Caenorhabditis elegans: one gene and its partners. The protein of the gene in region 1 purifies or fractionates together with the protein of each later gene. This does not show direct contact. Each region holds a gene or a part of one and is shown on either strand. Other genes may lie near its edges. The genes, in order: spp-14, Y38A10A.7 and ttr-17.

Region 1 (7,492 bases):
CATGGATTCTGATGTGGCTTGGAATGACCTTAAAAAGAGATTGGGATTTTAATGTTACGCATAAAGTTCATCAGTTCTATGGATTGAATGTAAGTTTGAACAATAAATTGATAGTGTCAAGCAGAATTATTTTCAGAAAGGAATGGCAATTGGACCAATTCGTGGAAATGAAAATCCATCTCAACTGAAAAACTCTATTCTTGTTGTTCATCGTGATACTGTAAGTACATATTAGTTCTTAAAAGTGAAACAAGCATTATTTTTTTAAAGATGTTTGTGACCGATGACCAAACAGCAAAACAATCGCTTCTTCGAGCAATTCACAGTGGAAAGTTTGAAATGATAAGTCCACCCGATGATGTGTACTGGAGGCAAGGTCAACAAAGTCCTGCAACTCGGGCGAAAATTCTCACCGAAGTTGACGGCGTTAAGAATAGTCCTGAAATGTCTAGATTGTTGAGAATGGGCACAGATGACACGCAACAAACGATGAGTTATCACTCAGTGAGTCTTTGTTTCACAACTATCCAATTTCGTAACCTAACATTTCCCAACATTATTTGTTTCAGAATGGTGGTCGTAACATAACTCAAGCTCAAATGACCAACTCCCAAATTTTGCAACGTGGAAACAGCTCACCACCAGGTCCTAGCCAGTTTGGAACCATACAACGCAACCAACAGCAATACAGCCAAATGGGCACACTACAACGCGGGCAAAGTGGCGGAACTCTTCAGCGTGGCGCCATGATTCACGACAACGTCTGGAATCAGTACTCGGCGATTCAAAAAAAAGACGAGCAGCAGCAACACATGCTGGGCCAACGGCGAGATAGTGGAGAGGCCGCATACGGAAGAGTTGATAGCACATACGGAAGTTACGCAAGAATTCCAAATGTGGTGGGTAGAATAAAACAGGAGTTGTTGTGAAATATGTGGTGCACTTTTGCAATCGTATGATTTAAGTTAGCAAAAACATTGGCTGATGATCGACTTAATAGTCAAACATTACATTGAGTCGATGTTTCATAATAACAAAAACTGATGATATCACGGTACATGCGTAATAACTGTACCTCAAAAAGTTTGTAAGTATCTCACAAAATATAACGTGACCCTAAACATAAGCCTGAAGCCTAAAAAACAATTGTATCATTCATTTGCCTGTTGACCATTACTGAACTTCATACGAAGCGAACATTTTAGGGTACAGCTACTAAATATAAGATACAAATTTCTGTAAAAATAGAATATTCTGAATTCCAGTCTCGAATCCAAGTAACCCCACAAGGAAGTCAAATTCGTGTAAACGGTTACGGAGGGCTACAACAAAACACACTTCAGAGACGTGAAGTCACACCTACACAACATTCTCAACAACCATCATTAAGCTCAATCCGCCAGTCTCCACTTTTATCAGACCGCTCTGGGATAAACGTGCCTCCGCCACAACCTCTTGTCAGCAGGTATCTTGGCAAACTTTATGTTCAACATTTCGATATAATTTTTGAAAAATTCAGGGAACAGTCTCCTTATCAACGGTCTGCGATCAAACTTTCTTCGTTCTCCGAGAACAAGGGTAGTGGAATATATGGAACAAGTGGTATTGGATCAGGAAATAATGTTCAATGGGGAGGTGCTCAACGAGCGGCACCTGGGCAACCAGGTCAATTGCTATGGAACCCTCCAGGAGCTACAAACGGACACAATAAGGTTATTTTATCTATTTGAGTTGTTGTATTCGAGCTTTTCTCTCATTATTTCAATTTTTTGCACGATGAGTTATTTATTCATTCACATTTTCGGCACACATCTCATTCTAACATCCACATCCATTGCAGTCATCGCTAACCAGCACAACAAATTCATCTCAAAACGATGAGCAATGCTTTACCCCGACTTCAACACTAACAAGTCACGGAAGTAACTACACTCCAACACCTGGATCTCCACAAGGATCCAATCCGATCTATTCCCGAATCAATGGAGCATCTTCCACATCGTCAAATCTTTACGGAGTTGCTTCCAAAGAAAGTCAATATGCTGACAGGACACTTCAAAAAGCACCGATCAAATCTACAACAGTGACGACTGGAAATACAATACTTCGTTCCGTGAACGGAACAGATGACACTGTATCAAGCTTTTCTCGTCCACCCACTGGAGCACTTAACCAAAATGACTTTGCTACCAGCATTGTGTGAATATTTGTTTTACATTTTTGGTAGGTCTTAATTCAAAAGTAACTAGAAATGTTTACAAATTCAAAATTTTCAAACGGAATGATTGCAACTCTGAAATATAGAAATCATCAAAAAAATTGAAACAATTGAAAGCGATATCATAACTATCTGCATCGAATTATGAAAAAAAAACCGAGATATTTTACTATTAATTTACAAAAATGTTATGATTCACCGTATTTCCTCTATTAGTATTGCATTACCCTTTAAATAGAAATAAGGAACACGATTAAACCGAAATTGTATATCATGTAACCTGATCATGTAAGCCTAATAAAATTAGTTCAGAAAACGGTTTCAAAGCCCATATAATTTTAGGATGAAATTGATAAGTTTCACTGTTCACAGAGTTTGCATTCTTAACTTTTGACAAAGATACATTTTACAGGAACCCTACTGATCCCGATGAACTATTCCCCCAATTAACACATGAACCAAATCAACTCCGTGACAATGCACTTCTTCTCGCCAAACACTTAAACAGTTAACCGCCAAACAAACACATCATCCCACTATAATTGTTGAAATTCATTTTTTATTTTTCTCTATAATTTCGGTCTTGATTTGCAAATTGCTGAAAACGGACTGAATTCTACTGTTTATGGAACAATTTCCTCGCCACTTTCTTTGATTTTCGACCCTTGTAAGTAAGCGCGTAATAATTGCCTCCCGCATTTTTATGTATAACTGATAATTTCTTCTTACGTTTTTCTACTCCTCCTCCCTTTTTTCATGTCACCCCACACCAAAAATCATCAAAAATCGTTTCCTTTGTTACTGTACTATATTCCCGTTGGATATCGGGTACATTTCTTTGAATTTCCACAATTTCTCTGAACATTTTGTCATAATTCGTTTTATTGTTTGTCAACCCCATTTGACCACATTCTTTGTTTCAATATTTTCTTTCTCAGATTTTATTGAAATCAAATTTCAAAAAAAAAAAATCACTAATAAAGAGCAAACAAATTTAAAAGTATCAAGGAATATAAGAATATGTTATTGAAATATGATGTAAACAGTTTTATCTCAAATAGAGTTTTATAATCAGACAGAGTAAAGAACTCAAAGATTCCGGATTATCGGGTTATCAGTGGGTTATAAAAGTGGGCGGGACAGTGTCATGCGATTCAAGTTTTCGTCGGGCTGAGCACTTAAAATTTCCTTGTTGAAAGTCTGTATAAAATGAACGAGACAATCGTTATGATAACAGCACTTTAACTCTTCCCTTATCTTTCGGAATTTTCATTCATTTCATTCATGACAAACTTGCAGACTGCTGATTTCTTGATAAGGTTAGAATGTCGTTTTTATATTATTTTCTTTTTAGAATGAAGACCACCTTCTGCCTTCTGGCCCTTGTCGCCGTCGCTACCGCTTTGGCTCTCCCAAGCCAACAGGACAATGCCATGAGCTGCCTCATGTGCGAGGTCGGAGTCCGTGCTGCTGAAAACCCAGCTGACAGAGAAGCTCACACCGTTGAGGACGTAAGTAGTCAAACTGTTCGTTTGGTCATTATAGTGAATATGATTTTAGAAATTTGACGCCGAATGCAAGAAGGAACTTGGAATCATTCCATTTGCCGAGAAGGAATGTGAGAAGTACGGAAACTCCAAGCTTGACCCCATCATCAACGAGCTCGAGGGAGGAACTGCTCCAGAAGATGTCTGCAAAAAGCTCAAGGAGTGCTAATTCTTTATGTTTCTTTTTCTTCTGATAAAGTGTGAATGACCTTTGAAATTGTTTATTCAGATATGAACTTCAAATTGTCAAATATCAGCGCGCCTGAAACTGATAAATCTCACTAACTCTGAACAAAACTGACTTTTCGTGAGAGGAAGAGCAAAGTTAACTACAGTGGCAATCAAAGCTATAGACGTTGACTACCAAAAAGTGTCGATTCGGCTCTAACGTGACAACTTCTTGTTAGCTCCAAATTGAAAGCTGAAATAAACTTTTTTCGTATAAGGTTATCAGGTTATTTTCTACGCAAGTGTAGCTTGAATTGTAACAATTCAAGCCTACATATGTCAAAAATTAATAAACCGCGTTTAAAATAAAATTTTACCTAAACATTTAAATCTGAAAGATGAAGTAAACTCCGATGATCAATGTTTTTTTTCAGTAAACGTTTGAATTTTTTCACGTTCTTTGGTTGAAAATTTGAATCAAACGATTTTAATAAATCTCGACAAAACTTTGTCAGTGAATGCATTTATCTTTTGAAACAGGCAGAGGTTGTCCTGTTGGTAAGCAGGCTTGAATACCTATTCCAAAATCATTCTTGATTTTTGGTTTGGTAAATGATGTGACACTTCGTTTTCACATATTCAGTCATTTTGTAATGTGTTCTATGAAAAAACACAATTAAGGAAATAAGATCTGTTAATGGCTAAAGTCACACATGTCACACCAACTATAAAAAAAATACAGTTATTATATTCCACAAAATCTCTAGTAACCGTTTCTGTTTAAAAAACTATGTTTACAATTTCGGTTTTTTTTTTGTTTTTTTTTTGTTTACAAACCTCAAATTGTTCTCGTTGCACTTCACATTTAGTGAATAACTTAGAGAAAGAAATACAACAACAAAAAAACAAAACTTTATCACATAAGGTACTCTTGTGGATATTCGAATGTAAAACTTGCTGTTTCCTGCATGTCATTTGAGAGATAAAATTGTCACCTGAAATATACAATTCTTTGATATGTTAAAACAAAGTGCACTAGCCTTTATGCTCGACTGAAAAATTGAATCAACAATTATAAATAGCAACCGTCTTGTAAAACAATTTTGCGACTTAAATATATAACCTTGAAATAAATTAAATGGCTGAAACTTCAAAGTTTTCAACTTCATCACTACAAAAAAGTTTTTAAAAAAGTACTTTGAAAAAATTGGCTATTAGTTGTTAGCATTACACTTGAAATACTTGTCCTCCACAAAACAAAATTTCTCCGCAATTGTCATAACACTTGTCATAACACTACTATCAATTGCATAAAGACAATTTGTGCATGGTCAATCAAAGTTTGATGAAACACGTAGAAATACAAAAAATTCACATTTGATAGAAGCTATTTCTGAGATTCAGCGATAATAAAGTGAAAAATTATTGAGCAACTGTCAATGTGCCAAATTAAAGCCTTATCAGTGCGCTAAATGTTGCAAACCCTTCATTTCAATTCAGAAAATGCCAATCGAAGGTTGTATATAAGGTTACCTGTGAAGAGGAAATTCATTGTCCAATCATGAGGTCGATTATTATCGCATCTATAGTGGCTTTGGCCATTGCTTTCTCCCCAGCTTTCGAGCGCACATTTGAGCCGAAAATCGACTATCATTACAAGTTCGACGGACTTGTTCTTTCCGGCCTTCCAACTGCTTCCTCTGAGCTCTCCCAATCTCGTTTTTCTGCTCGTGTCCGTATTCAAGCTGTCGATGACCGTCACATTCACCTTCAACTTGTGAATATTCACATGGCCGCTTCCCACCTCCCAGAGTCCGAGCAGATTCCATCCTTGAACTCCATGGAGCAGCGCGAACTCTCCGAGGAGTACAAGCAAATGCTCAAACTCCCACTCCGTGCTCAACTCAGAAATGGACTCATCGCCGAGCTCCAATTCGACAAGGAAGATGCTGAATGGTCAAAGAACATGAAGAGAGCTGTTGTCAACATGATCTCATTCAACCCAATTGCTCCAAGAAACGAGATTGAGAAAATCGAATCTTCTTATGACAAGGAGGAACAATCTGAGGAAAACACTTCTTTCTTCACCAACGAGAAGACCCTTGAAGGAGACTGCCAAGTCGCCTACACTGTCATCCGTGAGCAGAAGAAGACCATCATCACCAAGTCCATCAACTTTGACAAGTGCACCGAACGTTCCGAGATCGCTTACGGACTTCGTTACTCTTCCGAGTGCCCAGAATGCGAGAAGGACACCGTGCTCATCCGCCCACAAACTGTCTACACCTACATTTTGGAAAACGAAGAGCTTAAAGAATCCGAGGTCCGCTCCCTTTACACTGTCAACGTTAACGGACAAGAAGTCATGAAGACTGAAACCCGCTCAAAGCTTGTTCTTGAGGAGAACCACTCCATCAAAAGTCACATAGAGAAGGTACGTTAATCCATAACTTTTACAGTATGTTCTAAGACAAATATTCTTTCAGGTCAATGGAGAGAAGGAAAGCATCATCTACTCTTCCCGTTGGGAGCAACTCGTTGAAGACTTCTTCAAGAATGGAGATAAGGCTGAGTTCGCCCCATTCGAGAAGTTCCCACTTGACAAGAAGATGCACTTGATCAAGACTATCACTGAGCAAATACAAGAAGTCGAGAACAACATCCCAGAGACCTCCCACTTCCTTGCGCGTCTTGTCCGCATTTTCCGCACCACCTCCACCTCCCAACTTAAAGAGATCCACGAGACTCTTTACGTCAAGGCTGACAAGAAGGTATACATTTTTAGTTCATTTTATAATTTACCTTGCAATATTCAGATCCAATCTTTGATGGAGCACGCTCTCGCTATTGCTGGAACCAAGAACACCATTCAACACATTCTTGTTCACATCGAGAACGAGGACATCGTTCCACTCGAGGCCGCTCAACTTCTTAAGTCCATCCAAGAGACTCCATTCCCATCTCAAACCATTGCTGAAGCACTCATCAAGTTCGCCGAGTCTCGCGTTTCCAAGAACAACCAGGTTGTCCGACAATCTGCTTGGCTCGCCGCCGGATCAGTTGTCCGCGGAATTGTTGACTACAAGAATATCCGTCCACTCGTCCGCGAGGACAAGCGTGAGCTCAAGGAGAAGTTCCTCCGCGTATTCATGCAACAATACAAGGATGCTGAGACCACCTACGAGAAGATTTTGGCACTCAAGAGCATCGGAAACGCTGGACTCGACATCTCCGTCAACCAGCTCAACGAGATCATTGTTGACAAGCGCCAATTACTTCCAGTCCGCAAGGAAGCCATTGATGCCCTCAGACTTCTTAAGGACACCATGCCACGCAAGATCCAAAAGGTACTCCTCCCAATCTACAAGAACAGACAATACGAGCCAGAGATCCGCATGCTTGCTTTGTGGAGAATGATGCACACCCGCCCAGAAGAGTCTCTCCTCGTCCAAGTTGTTTCCCAAATGGAGAAAGAGACCAACCAACAAGTTGCTGCTCTTACCCACCAGATGATCCGTCACTTTGCCAAGTCCACCAACCCCTGTTACCAACGTGTTGC
Region 2 (8,451 bases), on another chromosome or scaffold:
GTGGGGCTGAAAATGTACTATTTCTGTAACTACGTGAAGCTTCTTGTACCTACTGAAATATCATTACTTATATATAAAAAAATAATTCCGTTTGTTCCATAATTTGTAGTCTATGTAGTCTTTGTAGTCTGTGACGTCACACCCAAAGTCACTGAGAATTGTGGGCGGGGTCTGTCATCCTTCGCGGTGAGACCCATCGTGGCGAGACCCATCGTGGTGAGACCCATCGTGGCGAGGCCCATCGTGGTGAGACCCATCGTGGTGAGACCCGTCGTGGCGAGACCCATCGTGGTGAGACCCATCGTGGCTAGACCCTTCGTGGTGAGACCCGTCGTGGTGAGACCCATCGTGGTAAGACCCATCGTGGCGAGACCCATCGTGGTGAGACCCATCGTGGTGAGACCCGTCGTGGCGAGACCCATCGTGGTGAGACCCATCGTGGTGAGACCCGTCGTGGTGAGACCCATCGTGGTAAAACCCATCGTGGCGAGACCCATCGTGGTGAGACCCATCGTGGTGAGACCCGTCGTGGTGAGACCCATCGTGGTGAGACCCGTCGTGGTGAGACCCATCGTGGTGAGACCCGTCGTGGTAAGACCCAAAATTTTGGCGGGAAATTTAAATTTTCTGTGAAAAATATTTTGGCGGGAAATCTGGATCCCTTTATATTATGAAATACATCATAGGCAAAAATAGGTGGATTTTTCAAACTTTGAAAATTCATAAATCTCTTCAAAGTAATTTTTTTTGAAATGTCTTTCAGAAACTTTGTAGTAAATTTTAAGCTCTTTCAGAATATATTAACAATATTCCAGTAGGTACAAGAAGCTTCACGTAGTTACAGAAATAGTACATTTTCAGCCCTACCTTTTAGTGCGTATTTTATTATTTAATGAAAACTACCATCAATAGGCAAAAATAGGTGGATTTTTCAAACTTTGAAAATTCATAAATCTCTTCAAAGTAATTTTATTTGAAATGTCTTTCAGAAACTTTGTAGTAAATTTTAAGCTCTTTCAGAATATATTAACAATATTTCAGTAGGTACAAGAAGCTTCACTTAGTTACAGAAATAGTACATTTTCAGCCCCACCTTTTAGTGCGTATTTTATTATTTAATGAAAACTACCATAAATAGGCAAAAATAGGTGGATTTTCCAAACTTTGAAAATTCATAAATCTCTTCAAAGTAATTTTTTTTGAAATGTCTTTCAGAAACTTTGTAGTAAATTTTAAGCTCTTTCAGAATATATTAACAATATTTCAGTAGGTACAAGAAGCTTCACGTAGTTACAGAAATAGTACATTTTCAGCCCTACCTTTTAGTGCGTATTTTATTAGTTAATGAAAACTACCATTAATAGGCAAAAATAGATGGATTTTCCAAACTTTGAAAATTCATAAATCTCTTCAAAGTAATTTTTTTTGAAATGTCTTTCAGAAACTTTGTAGTAAATTTTAAGCTCTTTCAGAATATATTAACAATATTTCAGTAGGTACAAGAAGCTTCACGTAGTTACAGAAATAGTACATTTTCAGCCCTACCTTTTAGTGCGTATTTTATTATTCAAAAAAACTACCATCAATAGGCAAAAATAGGTGGATTTTTCAAACTTTGAAAATTCATAAATCTCTTCAAAGTAATTTTATTTGAAATGTCTTTCAGAAACTTTGTAGTAAATTTTAAGCTCTTTTAGAATATATTAACAATATTTCAGTAGGTACAAGAAGCTTCACGTAGTTACAGAAATAGTACATTTTCAGCCCCACCTTTTAGTGCGTATTTTATTATTCAAAAAAACTACCATTTATAAGCAAAATAGGTGGATTTTCCAAACTTTGAAAATTCATAAATCTCTTCAAAGTAATTTTTTTTGAAATGTCTTTCAGAAACTTTGTAGTAAATTTTAAGCTCTTTCAGAATATATTAACAATATTTCAGTAGGTACAAGAAGCTTCACGTAGTTACAGAAATAGTACATTTTCAGCCCTACCTTTTAGTGCGTATTTTATTAGTTAATGAAAACTACCATTAATAGGCAAAAATAGATGGATTTTCCAAACTTTGCAAAATTCATAAATCTCTTCAAAGTAATTTTTTTTGAAATGTCTTTCAAAAACTTTGTAGTAAATTTTAAGCTTTTTCAGAATATATTAACAATATTTCAGTAGGTACAAGAAGCTTCACGTAGTTACAGAAATAGTACATTTTCAGCCCTACCTTTTAGTGCGTATTTTATTATTTAATGAAAACTACCATCAATAGGCAAAAATAGGTGGATTTTTCAAACTTTGAAAATTCATAAATCTCTTCAAAGTAATTTTTTTTGAAATGTCTTTCAGAAACTTTGTAGTAAATTTTAAGCTCTTTCAGAATATATTAACAATATTCCAGTAGGTACAAGAAGCTTCACGTAGTTACAAAAATAGTACATTTTCAGCCCTACCTTTTAGTGCGTATTTTATTAGTTAATGAAAACTACCATTTATAAGCAAAATAGGTGGATTTTCCAAACTTTGAAAATTCATAAATCTCTTCAAAGTAATTTTTTTTGAAATGTCTTTCAGAAACTTTGTAGTAAATTTTAAGCTCTTTCAGAATATATTAACAATATTTCAGTAGGTACAAGAAGCTTCACTTAGTTACAGAAATAGTACATTTTCAGCCCCACCTTTTAGTGCGTATTTTATTATTTAATGAAAACTACCATCAATAGGCAAAAATAGGTGGATTTTTCAAACTTTGAAAATTCATAAATCTCTTCAAAGTAATTTTTTTTGAAATGTCTTTCAGAAACTTTGTAGTAAATTTTAAGCTCTTTCAGAATATATTAACAATATTTCAGTAGGTACAAGAAGCTTCACGTAGTTACAGAAATAGTACATTTTCAGCCCTACCTTTTAGTGCGTATTTTATTATTTAATGAAAACTACCATCAATAGGCAAAAATAGGTGGATTTTTCAAACTTTGAAAATTCATAAATCTCTTCAAAGTAATTTTTTTTGAAATGACTTTAAGAAACTTTGTAGTAAATTTTAAGCTCTTTCAGAATATATTAACAATATTTCAGTAGGTACAAGAAGCTTCACGTAGTTACAGAAATAGTACATTTTCAGCCCTACCTTTTAGTGCGTATTTTATTAGTTAATGAAAACTACCATTAATAGGCAAAAATAGATGGATTTTCCAAACTTTGAAAATTCATAAATCTCTTCAAAGTAATTTTTTTTGAAATGACTTTCAGAAACTTTGTAGTAAATTTTAAGCTCTTTTAGAATATATTAACAATATTTCAGTAGGTACAAGAAGCTTCACGTAGTTACAGAAATAGTACATTTTCAGCCCCACCTTTTAGTGCGTATTTTATTATTCAAAAAAACTACCATTTATAAGCAGGAGATCCTCTGTTGACGTTAGCACACTCTTCACTATGCGAAATCAATTTAGAAGACTGCGTCTAAATTCCCGCAATTTTCGAAGATCAAACCGAGATGGGACATTCTGACACTACGTGCACAGTTGATCGTTTGTTAATATGGCCTGGTTTTTCCGCGTAGGTTTCGATGCTTTTTTCAGTTCATGATTGCACAAATTTGTTACATTTATGCATCCATCGAACGAAATTAAACCTAAATCAACAAATAAACTACCAAATATAGAGGGTAATTATTTATATTTATGAAAGTGGAGTTCAGGTCGCTGCGAGACTGTAAAGTTGGTAAAGTGTTAGATTCTGGCGGAACATTCCCTTTTTCCAAATCTTTGAAGCCTCCTAACTTCGCCTTATTGCGAGAACACTAAATTCTGAGAATACGTATTGCGCAACCTATTTGACGCGCAAAATGTCTTGTAGCGAAAACTACAATAATTATTTAAATGGCTACTGTAGAACTTGTGGCGATTTACGGGCTTGACTCTCGAAACGAATTTCAGTTTGAAGTATGACAGCAATTTTAATTTTCGTCCATTTTTTGAGACCCGAAGAACTCGGGGGATGTCCAATTGGGGGGATTACCAACTCGGGGGATTGGCCCCGCCCACAGAACCGTGGCTTGCAATACGCCCATTTCTGCCGCACGGTTTTTCATAACTGCCGCACGGTTTTAAAATTATTTTTTCTTGTTATTTCTCGCTCTATTGAGAAAAATACAGTTTTAAAACCGTGCGGCAGTTGCAGAAATGGGCGTATTGCAAGCCACGGTTCTGTGGGCGGGGCCAATCCCCCGAGTTGGTAATCCCCCCAATTGGACATCCCCCGAGTTCTTCGGGTCTCAGACTTCTGAACTTTTCGCATGGTTAAGAACGTGCTGTCGTAACACTTTTTGTATATTTCTATTAAACATCGTTTTTTATGCTGGATAGCTGTTTTATTTCTAATAATAAAAATTGAAAATATCTAACTAGCATTCAATTTCAGATGATACAGCGAAGAATGACCCTGAAAATATTAGCTAGGAGACATATTACAACTTAAAACATACGAAATGTAAATTTGTTTCCGATTATCAACAAAATTGTACATTTTAACGATATTTTTATCAATAAAGACTAATTTTTACATATAAATGTTAATTTAAAGCAAATCCGTGACTTGACGTGATGGTGTTTGCACACTTTTCACCACAATATACGACATTCAAGTTATATGCATTTTTTTCAAATGATTCTATCCTTTCTTTTCAGTATTCTTTACGGTTTTATTGATCAATTTGTCACCAGTATAATCGATCATGTTTTATTTCTCAATAATTGTAAAACAATTTTTCAGATATCGGCCCAAAAATGCCCGTAGACTCGAAAAAATTGGTCAAAAAAGCTTGTCAGCACATAAAACCAGTTGAGAAATTCGAATGCGAGACACAAAGAAGTACTACAACTGATGGGTAGGATCTTTGAATGATTTTCAAATTAATCTTTATTATTTTCAGCGAAACTATCAAATTCGATTACATGTGGGCGACACATTTGAGTGATGAAGACTTCGAGTGGGTGTTCAGTTTATTCAAAGAGAACATGTACGATATGTATCACAAATCCCAGTGGGGATACGATGAAAATTCCAAGCGAAACGAACTTCGTGCAACAACATCAAGGTTCATCATCGCGAAGAATTCGAAAGGGGATAAAATTGGCTATACCACTTATCGATTTGTGGTCGATCACAACATTCCTGTGGCATATTGTTGGGAACTTCAAATTGTACCGGCTTATCAGAACAAAGGAATCGGTGGCATGATGCTCGACACGCTGGAAAAGCTCTCTTCAAAGTACAGTTTCAATTAATTCGAGAGCCAATAAACAAAAACTCTTATTTTCAGGACAAACATGAGTAAAGTCATGGCAACAGTTTTTCTGTATAATGGACCGTCGCTCGGCTTCTTTCACAAACATGGATACAACAGCGACGTGACGTGCCCATCCGATGATTCTGGTCTGGATTATGCGATCCTGTCGAAAGAGACACCGAGCACATAAGAATATTAAATTCTGATTCTATGATTTTCTAATTTGTTATCATCTTCATTCTGGCTTAATTGTTACATGTATTTTTTTTTGGGTAAACAAACGTTTTTTATATTTCTACTTTTATAATATTGTGTCGTAAAAACCGTTACTTTTCGTTCAAATATTTATTTTCAAACCAAAATATAAACATTTTTGTAATAATCTTTGTAGATGCCTCATCCTTGGAACACTGCCGATGCATTAGACGATAGTCGGGTACAAGTTGAGCACATTGATTTAGTTCCTCCAAAGTATGCAAATGTACTCAACTTCAGATCTATTAAAACTAGAGATTATTATTTTGGTAAACCATGTTCTGGGCAATTAAATATTTCAATAACTTTTCTTCAGCAATGAGAGATCGTCATCAGCAGTTGGGCGCAGTCACATCTTCAAAAGCTGAAACTGACAAATTGAATAAACACTGTGAGGAGAACACGATAATGGTGGATCAAGACGGAGTAGAAACTCCAGCTGATTATGGAACAGAGAGGATGGTTGCACATGCAATAGAAGATCACCGACTTGCCGCCAATTTGCAACGAATAAAAGTTCATATTCTGAATGCAGTTCAACAAAAATCAATTCAAGCTATTCGTGACCGCCGAGGACTTCTAGTGGATGCTCCAACTGGAATCGGGAAGACTTATGCGTTTCTTATTCCGGCGATTGAAATTGCATTGAGGGAGCGACCATTGCTTACCAATATTTCAACCACGCCATCACCAACTATTCTTATTCTTGCAAATACCAACTCACTCGTTGAACAACTTTTTAATCGTTGTGAAGTTCTTCTTGGTTTGATAGATATGGAAGATATTATACCTATTCGAGATATTAAAATTGAAAAACTAGTTGCTAGCTATCAGTTCACAAAAGGTTCGTTACAGCATTCGTCTAACCAAAAAAAAACGAATTCTTTATAGATCAATGCGATATTGCGTTCTGTACGATGGGAAAGCTGAAAGCATCGATCGAGGATAAAACAATTCTTCTTGACAATTTGAAAATGATGATTTTGGATGAATCTGATAAAATGATTGACATTGCATGCTTCGGAAATGACATTGATTGGGTTTTAGACCAACTACAAGAGGATGTGCTCAGAAATCTTCAATCTTGTTTCTTTTCTGCGTCTCACAACAGAAACGAAGATGGTTCAATTGCATTAACTTCACGTCAATCAAGAATGTTAGGTGAAAATCCATGGTCACTGATCCATTGTCCGAGATTGCCTGGATATATCACTCAACGAGTTATTCGAATTGGTGGACAGCGAGTAAATGATATCCATTCGAATCCTTGGATCGTTAAGATGAATATTATTTGTAAATTGTTAGATGATGATCTCAAGGAAATGGGAAGCACAAAAGAAGGCCCATGGAAGCATACTATTGCAATTTTCTGTGAAACTGTCTCAAGAGTTATTCAGGTTTTACCCCTATTCTTTCGATTTTAAAAATATTGAGAACATTTTCAGGTAACTATGGCACTTCGTCAGATGGGATATAATTTCAAACCTGTATGCAGTAGTGTGTTGAAACAACAACAAGCAATCACTTTGAATGATTTGGAGTTTTGCAACATTCATGGAGTTGTATGTACCAATATTATGTCGAGAGGAATCGATGTGTCTTCTGTGAAACAGGTAAGTTTACATATATATTAAATTGATAAAAACATGGCTACTATTGACCCAAATATTTTTTATCTTAAGTCACATATTTCAGACAATAATCATGGAAATGTCCACCGATTTTCCGAGCTACATGCATAGAATCGGACGAGTTGGTCGCGATGGATGTGGTGGAAGAGCTACTGTCCTCATCGATGAGCATCATTTATTTGGCGGACCAATGTCGAATATTATCGAGCAGCTGTGTTCTTTTATGCTCGAATGCGAGGAAACGCTTCCCAATTGGCTTGTAGAATGGCTGAAGTTGCGTCAATCACTTTAATTGAATCACATATCAATTTCCTATTTTGTGCCGGTTTTTATCGCTTTTCTATGTATCTGATCCTGTATTTTATATTCATTGAACTAATCGAACTCGTAAATAGGTTTTAAAATTTTTTTATTATAAAACAAGAAAGGCTATCCAGCATCAAAATGGATGCTCAATAAATTAATAAAACAATCAATTAACCCGAGAGAATAGGAGAGACTTGAATGCGGGGGAATTGTGATGGAGTGGGGGCGATTGTATGAAGCGAGTTGAAAAGCTGTGCACGATTTGCTTAGAGCTCATCGTGTCCTTCCTCCTCTTCCTTCTCCTCCTCATCATCATCCTTCTTGGCCTCCTTCTCCTCCTCGGCCTTCTTGCGAGCCTCCTCCTCAGCCTTGCGGGTTTCTTCGTCGGCCTTCTCCTTCTTTTCCTTCTCAACAGTCTTCAATTTGTCAAAAGTCTCGGCAGCATGGGCCTCGGCCTCCTCAACAGAGTCGGTGATGATAATGTTGTCAAAGATCGTTCCTGACTTGACCTGAAAAAATAAAGTTTGAGTTTCATTTTTGAAAAATAGAATAAAAGTTTCTTACCTGCCACAAATCGAATCCGATGGCTCCCCAGCTTTCATAAGAGTAGAGTTCATCATCAGGAGTGTACTCTGGGTTCTCAATCTCTGGATGGATCCACTTGCCCTTGTAGGCTGGGTTCTTGATCTGCTTTGGCTTCCACTCACCCTTGTATTCTGGGTTGTCGATCATTGGTGGCTCCCATTCTCCGTCCATCTCGTCATCCCAGTCTTCTGGCTTCTTGGCATCTGGATCTGGGATGTGCTCTGGCTTCTCCCAATCTTCTGGCTTGGCATCCTCGGCATCATCGATGTACTCACGCTCATCCCAGTCCTCTGGCTTCTTTGCATCTGGATCCTTGATCTTCTTGGCTGGAAGAAGATCCCAGTCCTCCTCGAGGCTTCCAGTTTGGGCGCTTTCTCCGTCGATCTT
Region 3 (8,331 bases), on another chromosome or scaffold:
AGTCTAGGTAGTCTAGGTAGTCTAGGTAGTCTAGGTAGTCTTGGTAGTCTAGGTAGTCTAGGTAGTCTAGGTAGTCTAGGTAGTCTAGGTAGTCTAGGTAGTCTAGGTAGTCTAGGTAGTCTTGGTAGTCTAGGTAGTCTAGGTAGTCTTGGTAGTTTAGGTAGTCTAGGTAGTCTAGGTAGTCTAGGTAGTCTAGGTAGTCTAGGTAGTCTAGGTAGTCTAGGTAGTCTAGGTAGTCTAGGTAGTCTAGGTAGTCTAGGTAGTCTATAGTCTTGGTAGTCTAGGTAGTTTCGGTAGTCTTGGTAGTCTAGGTAGTCTAGGTAGTCTAGGTAGTCTAGGTAGTCTAGGTAGTCTTGGTAGTCTAGGTAGTCTAGGTAGTCTTGGTAGTTTAGGTAGTCTAGGTAGTCTAGGTAGTCTAGGTAGTCTAGGTAGTCTAGGTAGTCTAGGTAGTCTAGGTAGTCTAGGTAGTCTAGGTAGTCTAGGTAGTCTTGGTAGTCTTGGTAGTCTTGGTAGTCTTGGTAGTCCAGGTAGTCTAGGTAGTCTTGGTAGTCTAGGTAGTCTAGGTAGTCTAGGTAGTCTAGGTAGTCTAGGTAGTCTTGGTAGTCTAGGTAGTCTAGGTAGTCTAGGTAGTTTAGGTAGTTTAGGTAGTCTAGGTAGTCTATAGTCTAAGTAGTCTAGGTAGTCTAGGTAGTCTAGGTAGTTTTGATAGTCTAGGTAGTCTAGGTAGTCTAGGTAGTCTAGGTAGTCTAGGTAGTCTAGGTAGTCTAGGTAGTCTAGGTAGTCTTGGTAGTCTAGGTAGTCTTGGTAGTCTAGGTAGTCTAGGTAGTCTTGGTAGTCTAGGTAGTCTTGGTAGTCTAGGTAGTCTAGGTAGTCTATAGTCTAGGTAATGCTCCGCCACGCTGACTACGCAATTGAGTGATAAGCTCGGGGATCTGAAAAATAATTGATTTCTAATGGAAGTTTTTTGAATTAACTGACGTCTACAGTGTTATTACGAAACATGAGTTCAATAATATAGTCAACCGCAATAAAGCTCATCGATCGATTGATCCCTTCGGCAGAATGAATTAAACATTTTCCTTTGGTCACCTTATCTGATGGCTGAAGTGAATAAATTCCTCTCAGAATTACTTTTGGACTTGGTGCCACGTGTCCTTTCGGCCAATGTGGATAATGGAGAATTGTTATGAAACGAGCATTGCCTGATTCCTTCCCGTTGGTGGGGTCATTTTCCAACAATGAACGAAGAATTGACCGTGGTTATAGAATTTTCCTAAAATATATATGATTGTTAGAGAAAAATTTTTGGTCTTGAGACATGCAACAAACAAAAATTTTCAACTATCGTACCATCAGATGTCTCGCAATTATTTCTAGTTTTTCATTTGTTTCAAAATAATTGTTTACTTACTTAGATAAGTAAGTAAACATTAAAATGTCTGAAAGCACGAAAAAATGAAATAAAATTTTCTGAAGTTATGAAATAATAAAGAAATTATATGATTACGGTAGCTAGCAAATTCTATTCAGACCAAGACTTTTTTCTGACTGCAACTTTTTAATTAGTGAAACCTACCATGTTCAGTCGGAAAATACATGGGAAGTTGCTCATCCGGGGAGAAAATTGCAAAAATCACATCAATTTCCTGATAGAAAACCATTTTCCAAAAATATTCGTAATATTCTTTCATTGGATGTTGAGCAACAATCCATTTGCGTTCACAAGGTGGACATGAAGTAATTGAAGCATTGATGTAATTTTTTTCATCTTCTGCTTCTGTTTTAAGCCGTACACGTGTAACATCGTACAATGGAAAATCAGGATTTCTGTTTTTTTCTCGATTCGCCTGTAATACAATTATTGTGATTCATCAAAGACATTACTAGTCTTATTAGTCTCTTATAGGCATTACGAAAAATGTCGGCTACTTTGTTAAAACCGACGCGTTCCTATCATAGCCTAGTTGGAAGCTATGGTAGATGAAGGTACAGTGACGCCTACACAATAGATTGATGAGAACTCGTAATGTATGTTACCTGAAATGCATAGGTCTTATGCTCCTCCGGTGGTGTCCTCTCGAAAGATGACGACTTGAAAAAACCAACAAGTCCACCAGGTTTAGCTTGTGTCTCCGTCATCCATCCGATTGTTTTTTTGATTCCACCTTTGGCTTTTTCAAATGTTGCATCTTTGGTGCACAAGTTTTTCGAATTTTTTGAGTCTTTTGATTCGTTACTTTTACTCTTTGATTTTTCCTTGCTACCATCTTCAGCTGGATTCATTGTCGAATTCTTTCTGACAGTGTTTTTCTTTTTTCTGCAAGTAAACTCATTTTTAAAGTTACTTTAAACTATTCCACAAAAACGCATTCGCAAAATGTGAACCAAAAACTTACTTATCATTACGTTCTTTACTACCTAAAGCCAGAGACATTCTGTCGCACAACTCGAGTGAAAATTGAAAATAATCGAAATTCGATCGACGTTCTTGACACTCTGTTTAAAAAACTGAAACGTGAATTCAATTAGCATAATATCCTGAATGGAAATTATCTTTTCGCCCTCCACGCGAAATGAAATTTAATGATAACCATAATGCTGATGTGCTCGTTTCCAAATAGAATTGAATTCATAAAATTAAAATAAATAAAAACAATATAAAAAAAAATTAATCTTCCAAACAAGTAAAGCATTCAATCAATATAGTTTCGGGAAAAATGGAGCTTCATCCTTGAAGAAAGGTAGCAAAAAAACTTTAAAAACCGGTAGACCAGAAGTTGTAGATTTCTCTGAGACGTTCCATGGAAATTACCAATTGCAGTCGACAATGAAACATATTTTCTACAATTTATAAAATTTTTCGTCTATTAATATACTTGAATCATAAGTATACTGTGTAATTCGAAGAAAATATATTTGCTTTGATCGGTTTTAAGGTAATTTCCACACTGGCGCTACTCCACTTCACAAGCTTTGAAAATATATCCTAAATTTCTCAAAAGTTAGTTTTTGCTTAATTTGGCAACTTGCCAAAACTTGGACTAATGATTAAAATCTGAAACTCTTTAAAGTGTTCTGATTAGACATTTTATTTTTCAAATAACTGTTTTGTGTTATTTGACAAAATCCCAACTGGGTACTTCACCAGGTCTTTTTCATCAGAAACCAATACAACTATTTTCTACACTTTGAGATTTAAGTGCATCCCACTGAGCCGTGTAGTCCCCACATCTTATCACAGCTCTTCCTGTCAATCAGTGTCAATCAGATGTATCTTCTCAACTAATCATGTGACACACGTATCTCTCTTCAACATTGAAATGTTTATAAACACATGAGAAAACTTAAATTGACAGTTGTTCCATTTCCATTGGACATCTTTAAAGTGGTGTTACACTTCTTAACGTCATACAAGTTTTTAAGAGACACAGACAAATACCACGCAATAAAAATTGAGCTGTGTCGGAATCTGATTAAAATGAGAAGTTGAATAGATCACACACAAGAAGTACGAAATGATCAAAGTTCGAAACAAGTTAGCAAAGTTATATGAAGGTTTTGATTTGTATATTAAAACACCTGAACTTGAAACAAACCTGAAAGAAACCGGCAGTCCTCAGTTGTTGAAGGAATATCTTCAACATGTTCACATCTCCACAATTAAAAATAATATTTAAGGAAAGAAGCTTAAAAAATGAACCGTTTTCCAAAACTTTCCAGTTTTGAGCCAAATAGTAAGTCAATCAAATTTTAAAAAAAAACCAAAATTTTTTTGATAAGATTTTCTTTGTTGAGTACGATATACACTTTGCTTGCATTGAGAGAATAACCAAGTTTCCTTGGACAGTCATAGTTTATTCAAAAGTTTACATTTGAACATAATTAAAAATTTGAAAGATGTTTACAATTTATTTGAAAAAAGACTAAAAATATTTTTCAAGTTTTGTCACCTCTTTCAGATAATTTTTTAGAAGTATACTTATGTATACATTACACACTTCTAAAGCTATGTCATTTTCAATAAACCTCCTAGAGTAAAAAGTTTGTTTTCGGTATAAATAAAAGAAGCCAACTGACAAAAAATTATACGTACACAATGCGTAGTTCAATCTTTGTGGTAAGTAGGGACATGCAGAGAAGACTAGGGATGACGGTTTTTTTTTTCGAGTTTTCATTCTGCGTTACGAATTCTCAAGATCATGAAAAAATACTAGTGTCCAGTTATTTCAACTATCAAGAAATCATGACATTAATTGAAAAATTGCTGAAACACACATAACACTGAAAAAGTACGATATGCTGGATACCGAACTTCCGGTTCAGTCCGGTTTGCGAGACTAGACATATTAACTCTCCGAAACGTGCATCTCAAAAAGTTCTACTTCATCTATTTTTAACCTTATCATCATCAGAAACCAATCCAATAGAGCAGGGAGTTCAAAAATCTCACAAGTCCCATTCTTGATTGAAACGACTCATTTTGCTCTCTGATCTATTTTTATTTACGTTGATGATGGTCCATCTTTTTCTTCTTTTTCTTGAAAACTATTGCTCTTCGATTCTTTCTTTTTCCCCACATCACTTCAATTTAAATCCACCACCTACGTTTCTGTCACCTGTTGGAAATAGATGGATGTGTTGAAGAAGAGTATCAAGCAATTTTATATTTATAAAAACAAAACGATCACTTCCGTTGCAAAACTCCGCCCATCTATTATAAAAGTACACACTTGACGCTCAAAACTTTCAGTTCTTTTTTCTTGCAATAACAACAAAAAATCGTCAAACTTTCAGCCATGTCTCGCCTTGCTATCCTTGTTCTTTTGTCACTCGCTGTATTTGAAGTATCCGCCAAACTTCAAAATGTAACTGTAAAAGGAATTGCCGTTTGTAACAAGAGAAGAATGGCTAATTCCCATGTTATTCTGATTGATAAGGATACCTGTAAGTGTGACAAGGAAAAATATTAATATTATTCCATAAGTTTCAGTGGACCCAAATGACGAATTGGCTCAAATTCATACCAACAAGGAAGGAGAATTCGAGTTGTTCGGAGAGGAAGATGAGATTGGCAAAATTGAGCCATACATTCGTATTCATCACAGTTGCAATACCAAACCAGTAAGTATTTCTAATTTAATCTAATCTTATGAGTGAAACTGTAGGAATAAATTAGAAAATCTGGCTGGTAATAAGGAAAATGGCAATTTGAAAAAGTTTGATATTTTCTTGAATTATTATACATTATTATAAATTATCATGAATAATACATTGATGAGAAGCAGATTATAAAGGTGCATATATAGATACAAATTAACCTTGTGAATTGAAAATATCTAGTACAATATGACACTTAAATAACCCTCCCAAGTAGGCAAATATCTCTTCCTGACTGAAAGCCAATTTACGCTCTCCTGATGATAAATTGAAACTTTTGGTAAATTTATTGCAAATCAGAAATACGCAAATCTACACAGTGCAAATACTGAGCGTGGTTTGAAATGCAAAATATAGGCGGTAGGTATTTAGGCACGTAAACATGCACACCTACTTAGCAATAGCTACTTCGAATATAAATTTGAAAAACTTAATTGAAGAAATTTAAAAAATGTTATGTTTCCAGGGATGTGAACGCGTTTCCGAATATCAAATTCCACAAGAAAAAATCGGAGAGGTCTATGACATGACTTATGTTACCCTTGATATTATTGTTCATGGAGAGAAGACCATCTGCAACTAATTATGATTTTTTTGTTTCAACTCATATAATTGTATGTACATAAATTCGTATTTTACCCTAAAACGTTTTGAACTATTTCTGGTTTTTGTTTTTAATTGATTCGGAGTACAACCCCCTGCCAACTGACGAAAGAGAAACTTCGGGATTCCGGAATGATTGGGCAGTGGAGTGGAGTGGAAAAAATATGTTCAGGAAGGTTGAAAAATACGTCGAGAGAAGGTTACGTAAGAAGTCAAAAGAAAGAAACAATTGAAGAGTGACAAATAGAACGAGGACAAAAAAATAATTTTCTTGTCGAAAAGAAGTATAACTTTTAAATTTGGTCTATTTTGATACCTTCCACAGAAAGAGTAAATTCAGAAAATAAATATATATAATAAAAGTTAAAAATTTCCAGAATCGTTTTGTGTGACATCGGCAACTACCGCAGCTTTCCAGATTTCAAGTTTTTCTGAAGATTCTAGTTACGCAGATCTGACATTTTAAAATTGTTGTTCTTTCAGCATTGGAATAAAAAATGCTCAACTTATAAAAGGTAAACCTATACAGTTAGAAAATGATATAGTGCTGGCTGCACACCAAGCTGTAACACGATCGTGTATATGTTCTTCTGGATATCTGACTTGTTTTTCGTTGATGTTTCAATTTTTGTGAATCATCGTTCTTTGTTACTCGAAGTCCGGGAAATCTGGGCATTGCAGTAGAAAGTGGAAAAAATACTATATTAAAAAACATAGGTCAGTACTTAATTGAACCCCTCGAGAAATAAAACAAAATTCATTAAAAATAAGTTTGAACTGTTTATGAATTTATATATAATTTAAAACCTCATTTTAATGTTCAGAAAGCTGAATTAGAACTTCGAAACTATGAAATCATGAAACAGTGCTAAACGAAGAAACCCTCCAGTTTTTGTTGTGATGTTTAAAATTTTATATATTGTCTGACGCATTCACATTTCAAACATAAAATTCTGAGATTCAATTAGAGGGATCAATCACCAACTGGCAATAACATCAGAGACTGATCTCAAACTTTAGTGTTCGAAGGATTATCAGAAACTCAAATTGCTCTTTGTGAACATTGATTTCAATATCGATTATGTTTTTGAAAATTGTTTTGCATGCATCTAATCTTGTAAACATATCAATAATCAAGTGTACAAAATGATCATTACAGCTTTGTTTGTTTGTTTGAAAGACTGGAAGCGGATATCACTACATCCCACGTAACATCACAAAAACTATTAGCCTGAAAACGAAAAAAAATTCCAGTTGAAATATAGAAATCAATCCAATCTGAATGTATTGTCAATAATAAATATTGTGAATCAAACGGAAACGTAATATAAAAGGTACAGCGTGAGCCTGTAATATGACAGCTGAAACTGTACCGATTTTCGATAAGGTATTTCGCAGACGCACGCCTCCCCTCCTATAGCCCGGAAAACGCCTCCGATAAATATGATTTTAGATAAAATTAGAAAAAAAATTAGGGTTAACATGTAGGCGCCAAACGCATGCCTGACATTAAGGCGACGGGCCTCCCTCACGCCTCAACTCGCGCTTTCTGCCAAAATGCAGAAAACCCTGATACCACACCCTTCTCCCATGGAACTCCTATGTGGATCTGATTATCAGAAAAGAAAACTTCCGTATGTGCACAAGATATTCTGAATCCAATTCCTCCCCCGTATAAAAAATGAGTCATAATTATATTTTGAAATCTTGATTTTGTTTTTCAAGCTTGCCAACCCATTATCTAATCCCTGATTACTTGTTGTTGTTTCTGATTCAAGTTCTCATGTTGTCTCATGGCTGGCTGTTGGACACGCCAATTGGCTCTCGTTTCTTTGATTCTATTGGTTGATTGAAGGGGGGACAACACCTGACGTTAATCTCCAAATCTCAATATAAATAGTGAGCCCCAACACGACGCCAGTCACCTCAACAACTTATTGTTGAAAATGCGCTCGCTCGTCGTGTGTCTCTTGCTCGCCGCTTGTGCTCTTGAATGCACAGCCCGTCTTCAGAATGTTACTGTTAAGGGAGTTGCCGTGTGCAATAAGAAGAGATTGGCAAATGTTGAAGTTCAACTCTATGAGAAGGACACCCGTAAGTTCATTGATAGAACTTTTCTATAAATGTATTTGTATTTTTCAGTTGACCCAGATGATCTTTTGGACACCAAGAAAACTGATGCTGAAGGAGAATTCAGCGTTTACGGAGAAGAAGATGAGACTCATGCTATTGCCCCATACCTTTTGATTACCCATAGCTGCAACCCATCTAAGCCAGTAAGTCAAAATAAATAATGGAATATATTTATTAAAATAATTCCAGAACTGTGTCCGCATCGGAAGGTACTTGGTGCCAGAGGACAAGATCGGAGGAACCTACGACATGACCTACGTCACCCTCGACATCAAGGTTCACGGAGAGAAGGAAAAATGCCAGTAAAAAGTGCAAACTTCCTGGATTTTATTGACTATCTAAATATATATTTTTTCTATATGATTTTTCTCAATTTTCCATTAATAAAAACATGAAATAAATGTTTAGTTTTTTCAACGAGGACCTGAAGAGACTAGG

Evidence for each region.
Region 2: the proteins of spp-14 (region 1) and Y38A10A.7 fractionate together in Caenorhabditis elegans (co-fractionation; one large-scale study listed by BioGRID). This does not show direct contact.
Region 3: the proteins of spp-14 (region 1) and ttr-17 fractionate together in Caenorhabditis elegans (co-fractionation; one large-scale study listed by BioGRID). This does not show direct contact.

Annotation. Positions count from the first base shown.
Region 1 is NC_003284.9:7,722,407-7,729,898, forward strand, and holds spp-14 (Saposin B-type domain-containing protein), read left to right. Parts: upstream 1-3,572; 5' UTR 3,573-3,573; coding exon 3,574-3,729; intron 3,730-3,778; coding exon 3,779-3,934; 3' UTR 3,935-3,977; downstream 3,978-7,492. Other genes in the region: K09F5.6 (Protein tincar), read left to right, coding at 1-89, 137-220, 271-504, 570-899, 1,266-1,465, 1,520-1,712, 1,841-2,203; vit-1 (Vitellogenin-1), read left to right, coding at 5,495-6,367, 6,420-6,704, 6,750-7,492.
Region 2 is NC_003283.11:6,091,427-6,099,877, forward strand, and holds Y38A10A.7 (N-alpha-acetyltransferase 40), read left to right. Parts: upstream 1-4,770; 5' UTR 4,771-4,784; coding exon 4,785-4,885; intron 4,886-4,930; coding exon 4,931-5,269; intron 5,270-5,320; coding exon 5,321-5,477; 3' UTR 5,478-5,667; downstream 5,668-8,451. Other genes in the region: smut-1 (Synthetic MUTator), read left to right, coding at 5,679-5,811, 5,859-6,386, 6,434-6,939, 6,988-7,155, 7,238-7,465; crt-1 (Calreticulin), read right to left, coding at 7,746-7,988, 8,044-8,451.
Region 3 is NC_003282.8:11,063,490-11,071,820, reverse strand, and holds ttr-17 (Transthyretin-like family protein), read left to right. Parts: upstream 1-4,794; 5' UTR 4,795-4,796; coding exon 4,797-4,944; intron 4,945-4,990; coding exon 4,991-5,121; intron 5,122-5,623; coding exon 5,624-5,740; 3' UTR 5,741-5,802; downstream 5,803-8,331. Other genes in the region: ttr-16 (Transthyretin-like protein 16), read left to right, coding at 7,707-7,854, 7,903-8,036, 8,083-8,199.